Mus musculus: one gene and its partner. The protein of the gene in region 2 interacts with the protein of the main gene of each other region in a biochemical or structural test. Links are inferred from orthologs where the notes say so. Each region holds a gene or a part of one and is shown on either strand. Other genes may lie near its edges.

Region 1 (2,661 bases), on a different chromosome or scaffold from region 2:
CCGTGGAAGCCAGCATTGACCCTCCAAACCAGACTGCATACCGCTGCATATGGTGTGTAATAACTTGTACATCAATAGGCTTGGGCTAAAAAGTAACAAAGTAACAGTAAATTCAAATACCAATTTCTCAATCAATTAAGTTTAAATGCGCATACACAAAAATAATAATTATAAAGTCCAAGGGACAGAACTCAGGACCTGAGATTATCTAGAGTGGGTGTGATGGAACAGCAGATGAAGATGACCACACTTGTCAGTACACACAGCATAGCACCAGTATTTGCCCTACCACACCGGAGTTGAGAGGCTCCAAATACAATGATGCGTGTTTAAAGAAACTGAAATGCTATTACCTTGCTTTGATCTTACAACTTGCATACATGTATCAAATTATCACACTGTACTCCATAAATCATGTATAATTAAATACTAAACATATAAATCAAATACATATAAGGAGACATGCATGGGGCAAAACCAGGGCAGACAGAAACTAACTCTATTTTTGGCAACTACTTCAGCCACAAACAGGAACAAGTTAACTGTACTTTTGGCAACTACCTCAGCCACAACTATTTCAGGAAAACAAGAATGAATGTTAAAACTGCTGGTTGAAAAGTCTCATGAAGCACAGAACAGCTATATGGCCTGACAGCCTCCTCTTAAGTTTCTACACATGGGAATGCAAAGGTAACAGGCTATACACAGAAGAAAACTGGCAGGAAGCCTCTACCAAGCAGTTAAAGTCAATGCATTCTCTGACAAAACGCAGTAAAACTGACATGAAAACGCTTCTGTGATGTGACTGTCAAAGCACAAACTACACCCACCCAGAAGGAACACCAAACAGACCCATACCAAGACAAAGTTCAGAAAATACACAGCCTGAACTCTTCAAATATGTCCAGGCTAGGAAACAGTGAGCAAAGTGAAGCTTCCTAGAGCTCCTTAACTGGAGAATAGGCCAGCAAGATGGCTCAGTGTTAAAAGGCATTTGTTATCAATCTGAGTTTGCCCACAGGACCCACCCACATGGTAAAAGGATCAAACCAACTCATTCAAGTTATCCTTTGATCTCAACATGTGTGAATGCAAGCACACAGGTGCATGCGTGTACACACACACCACCCCAAATTATGGAAGGAAGGAAGGGAGGAAGGGAGGGAGGGAGGGAGGGAGGGAGGGAGGGAGGGAGGGAGGGAGGGAGGGAGGAAGGGAGGAAGGAAGAGAGGGAGGGAGGGAGGGAGGGAGGGAGGGAGGGAGGGAGGAAGAGAGAGAGGGAGGGAGGGGGGAGGGGGAGGGAGAGGGAGAGAGGGAGAGAGAGAGAGGAGAGAGAGAGAGAGAGAGAGAGAAAGAGGAATGTATGTTCCTTGACTAAATAATATAACATTGTTTTTGTTTTCTTCTGTTTTTAATTTTATTCTGTTTTCCTTTGGCTTGACAGATCATTCTTAAATCAACTGGTGAAATATGTCTTAGGTCAACAGCCATACCTTGTGTTTATAATCAATGTATGAATTCCCCTAAGTCAGAATTTAAACTTTTATGTGTGTGTCATGGTATGCTTGAGGAGGACAGAGGATAACACTGAGAGTTGCTTCTTTCCTTTCACCTTTCTATGGATTCTAGGGATCAAACTCAGGTCAGGTCACTGGGTGTGTACAACAAGCATCTCACCAGGCCCTGCTACACAGATTTAAAACTATATCTGTGAAACACAAGTCAGCCTTTCACACAGTGGAGTTATGTGAGTGTCAGAAGAATTGGTTGGTTGAGGAGGAAAGCAAACATAAAAACCTTTTTTGCACAAGCAGTCTGCCTGAGCTGTGACATTTTGTCATTTCTCAACAGAGCTCAAACCAGAGCAAAGTACCAAGCAACAAACTGCACCCATGATTCTAGGGATAGTGGCTACCTTCCAGCAGGACGCCTGGCATGATTGTCTTAATGCTCCTAAGTGAGAGCTGGCAAACATTCCTGTCCAGAATGCAGTAACAAGGGGGTCTTCCACATTCTCTGTCAATGGTTGAGAAAACCAACCTTCAATCTACCACCACTCAGCTCCTCGCTTAACTTCAGCCTGGCATCTACAGTTCTCTTCAAATCTCTTTGCAAACGACGTCCAAAGTCCCTGAACATGGTTGAACCACCAGAGAGGACAATGTTCTGTGGTGGTAGAAAACAAAAACAAAAAAAACCAAAAATTATGATCTTTATTTTAAAAGAGAAGCAATCTAGAGACAAATATACAAGAATTCAATTGTGTCTTTTCTAAGACACAATTCTCTAATATTCAACAATGAACAAGAATAAAGGCTTTAAAATATGCTATTAAATATTATGAAAAGAAAACTTAAAACTCCAGTTTTTGCTGTAAACACTAACCTTGTAGAGAGGACGCCGGACATCAATGGGGCAATTCTGAATGACTTCATCTACAACTTCTGAGATAGGTTGTGTAAAATCTGGATTAGCAAACTGAAAATTAAGTATATTTTATACATGAGTGTATAGAATTGTTATGTTAACATTGTGTTAGTGTAATGTTCAAGTTAATAACAATCCAGCTCAGGAGTGAAAGGACCATGGTGACCAACATACTACAGCTACTGAGGATAGAAGTCAGGCAAGATTCAATTAACAAGCCATGCCTGTACTATG
Region 2 (4,246 bases):
TCCAGTTTCGTTCTTTTCTAAAGGACAGAGCAGAGCGGCCCAGCTTGATAGTGTGTGCCCACAGCCTATAATCCCAACACTCAGGAGGCAGGAGGATGGCTGCAAGTGTAGGGGGCATGCTGGTGTACGTAGTGAGTTTCCGGTTAATCAAAGCTATAGAGATCCGTCTCAAATGCATCCCAACCACCACCAAAAAGGGAGTGGGAGGGAGGAGTAGAAAGAGAGACACATACAGACAGACAGACTCCAGGTTTGTTCCTAGGCTGGCCAGAACTCCTTGGTCTTAAGGTCCTCTGCTTCAGCATTCCCAGCCACTGGGACCATGGGCATGCACATTCTATGTAGATCTCTGAGAAGGCCAAAACTGTTTGTGGTGATGGCTGTACAACTCTGAATACATCGATAACCACTGAACCCTTCAATCGGGTGATCACGTGTAGGGTGAAATATCAATAAAGCTGATAGAAATCAGACGGGGACAGAGAAAGCCACTCAGCCCCACACAGCCAGCACGAAGCTCAGTCAGAGAGGACCTAGTCACAGGATGGAGGAATCCACCATCTTGAGGCCCTGAACCTGATACCTATAGCGCAGCGGAGCAAAGGTGGCTGGGTCAGGAGTTGTTATGGAAAGGGCAACCCCCACCCCATGCCTATGGAGGCCAGTGCACAGACGGAGTAGGCTAGCCTGCCCAGGACTCCATTAAGAGACAAGCTGGTAGGCAGACACGACCATGCCCAGGACAAAGACCAGGGGCACAAGGAGGTAAGGATGCTCAGGACGGTGCGGAGTTATGCCAGGTGCCTTCCCGACTAACAGGTCAAAGTCTGAAGGGCCAATTAAATTCCCTGGCATTTTACAAGGTGTTAAAGGCATAACTGTCATAAGCCCTCAATTAAAGGTCAGCTCTAGGGCCAGGGCTAAAGTTGGGTGGAGAAGCTGTCTAGCAAGGCCCAGGGTGCTCTGGAGACCTAGTACCACAATCAGTTCTTCAACCCCACCTCTGCACTCTTCTACATCTGAAGCTCCCACAAAAGCTGCTTCTCCCTCCTTCAAACTTCTGGTGACAACCTTCTCAGTCAAACAGAGAAGCAGTGTTGACTCAGGGCCTGAACTGGTGACTCACTCTGGGTGAGCCAGCAGAGGCCTGACCCCTGGTGGACGCTGGGGGAGGGGGGTGGGGGGTGGGCTGTAAGTTCTGACTGTGAGGGTCTACTGGGTGGTGAGGACTTACTGGAGCTTGGGCTACTTACTGGCAAGGCCCAGGCAGTGCAGCCAGGGCAAACCACTAGGAAGGGCTAAAGCCTCTGCTTGCTTCACTGGGCACAACAGGGAATTCCTTCTCCCTGGCCACAAGTCCCCATCCCTCACACGGACCAAGAGGAAACAAAGGAACATACCAGGCCCAAACACCTCTGCAGTGACTGGGCACACACCCAGGAGGAGGGGCGGCTGGATTCCAGGCTCCTTAGCTCCAGGAAGCAAGCTAGGCGCTTGGATTTCCATTGACCCCATTGCAAATTTCCCTCAGGTGCCCAGGCCTTTCCTCAGATGTTGGCCTCTCAGCCCAGTCCTGAGGACTAGAGACCAATGCTGGAACCCGGCTGCTCAGCCTTACCAACTTCCTACAGGTCCTTGGACCCTCATAATTCCACTGGGTTCTGGAACCCCAGGCTCCCCAGGCCCACCAGCTTCCCCCAGGCCCTCATCATTCCACTAGATTCTAGAAGCAAAGTCCCCTTACCCCCACCAGCATCTCCCAGGCCTCAGGTCTACATTCTTTTCCCAGGTTCTGGTACTCTGACTACCACAGACCCATAATTATGCACTCTGACCTAGAACACCCCAAACCGACTTAGCACTTCATCCTGGGTTCCTGCTCTGAAACCCCACCCCTTTCTTTATGTCCAAAATTCCTAGGGCCTGTGTCCTAGGGCCCGCCCCCTCAGAGCCAGACCGGCTGTGCACCCCTAGCTACTCCACAAATGACGGGATGAACGGCTCAGCATTGGTGTCCGAAACCTCCGATCCTTGCCCAATACCCGGGGCTCCGACGTCCCCATCCAGACCCTGCGACCCGGGACTTTGAGCCTCCAATCCTGGCCCTACACCCCGAATCCCGAATCCCAGCGCCACACCACAACCCCAACCCCCCGATTTCGGACCCACACCGCGAACCCTTGGCCTTGACTCTGCACCCCGGTTCCCCCTCCTAGCACTGCACTCCAACCCCCGATCCTAGCCCTGCAGCCCGGGTCCCGACGCCCGACCCCAGCCACACACCCCAAGTCACAATCCCGGCCCCACACCGCGAACACCGGGTTTTGGCCTGGAATCCTGACTCAGGGGTCCCAGCCCTACACTCCGAGGCCTCGACCAACAGATCCTGGCCCTGCACCCCTGGGCCCCGACCCTGCCCCGCACTCGGATCACCTGGGCCCAGTCCAGACCCTGTACCCCAACCTCCCGTCCAGGCCCGGCACCCTGACAACTCATCATCCCACACCCTTCCTGTCCCCCAGCAGCTCTCTAGGACGCCCATCCCCCGCTCACCGCACCAGCAGGGTCCACCAGGCTCCCGCCGCGCCCCGCCGCTCCCTGTGCCCGCTCACTTCCGGTTCCGCGGAGGCGGGGCCGCATCCGGGGCCACGCAAGATCCCGCCCTATTCCAGGCCGTCCCCGCCCCGTATTCCTGTTAGCTGATCAAGAAAGCAGGATACACAGTTCCAGGACTCATAGGCAGCTCGGCCGCCAGTCAGCTGCGGAGATCCGATTTAGAAACACCCGTCAAGCCCTGTCCAACACACATTCACCCTCAACCCAGCTTCCAACCATGTATCCACCCTGCAACTCTCTACCCACGCATGGATCTACACAGCATCATTCACTCCCCTGTCAATCTTCTACCCACCAATCCACCAATCTGTCCTTCTGCCCATCTACCCATACACCCACTCATCTAGCCATACATCTGTTCATCCATTCTTCCATCTATCTGCTTCCTATTGTGATCAAAAAACTGAACCCTGTCTCGAAAAACAAACAAAACAAAACAAAACAAAAAGAACTGATCAAATACAGCTTGGGGAGAAAACTGCTTATTTGGCTCATAAATTATAGTCCATCACTGAGGGAAGGAAGTTAGAACAGGAACTCAGGCAGGGCAGGAACTGAAACAGAGACTATGAAGGAGTGCTGCATACTGGCTTGCTCAGCCTTTCTTTCACATCCCAGGTCTACCAGTGTAAGGGTGGCAACCCACAACGGTGGGTTGGGCCCTTCTGAATCAATCAGTAACCAAGAAAATGCCCCCACAGACTAGCCTACAGGCCAGTCTGATGGCAATTCATCAACTGAGGTTTCCTCTTCCAAGATTACTCTAGTGTCAAGTTGACAAAAACTAACCAACATGTCACCTATACACCCATGTGTCAACCATCCATCTACTTATCTATCCATCCACTCATCTATCTGTCCTAGTTGACATTAACTGTCAACTTGAAACAGCCTAGAATCACATTTTTTTTTAAAAAAATCTCAAATGTGTACTTGTCTTATTTAGGTTATTCTGTGGGCATGATTGTCTTGATACAGGAGGGCCAACCCACTGTGGTCCATCCCTAGACAGGTGTCCTGGACTGTATAACAAAGCTAGCTAATAAGGCAGCGGCCAAGTGGATCACTTAGAGGCCAGTCTGGTCCTGATCAGCCAAGTGAGGGATTCTGTCTCTCCTGCCCCCCTCTCCAGAAGGAGGAGGAGGAGAAAGGAGATGAAAGAGGGAGGTTAGGGATGTAATTCAGTGGTAGAGTGCCTGTCTAGTATGTACAGGGCCCTGGTACCAACCTTAGCACCACAAGGCAGAAAACAAAAGGCTAAACTGTCAAAATTTATGAATAGATCAGGAAGGAAAAAGAGATGTCAGGTGTCAGAGGAGAATGTTCCCATGTGTGTGTGCACAATTCACATGTAAGTGTGCATTCAACTGCATGAGCACACATACAGAGGTCCAAGGACACATTCTGGCATCTTCCTCAGGAAGGCCACTCACTGCTTGAGACAGGATCTCTCTGGCCTGCAGTTCATCCACTAGGCTAAGCTGGCTGGTCAGCAGGCCCCAGAGATCCTCCTGTCTTTGCTTCTCTGCTGAGGGGATTGCAAATGTGCACCACTCCACCCACCATCCTCTCATTGGTTCTGAGGATCACACTCAGTCCCTCATGCCTGCAGAGCAAACACCCAGCCATC

Evidence for each region.
Region 1: the proteins of Cttn (region 2) and Actr3 form a complex in vitro, tested with the Homo sapiens proteins (3 studies listed by BioGRID). The link is inferred for Mus musculus from reciprocal best matches to the Homo sapiens genes CTTN and ACTR3.

The regions. Positions count from the first base shown.
Region 1 is NC_000067.6:125,395,067-125,397,727, forward strand, and holds part of Actr3 (actin-related protein 3), read right to left. Parts: intron 2,479-2,661; coding exon 2,386-2,478; intron 2,167-2,385; coding exon 2,041-2,166; intron 86-2,040; coding exon 2-85; intron 1-1. UniProt on the Homo sapiens protein: ATP-binding component of the Arp2/3 complex, a multiprotein complex that mediates actin polymerization upon stimulation by nucleation-promoting factor (NPF).
Region 2 is NC_000073.6:144,468,136-144,472,381, forward strand, and holds the start of Cttn (src substrate cortactin), read right to left. Parts: upstream 2,801-4,246; 5' UTR 2,554-2,800; intron 1-2,553.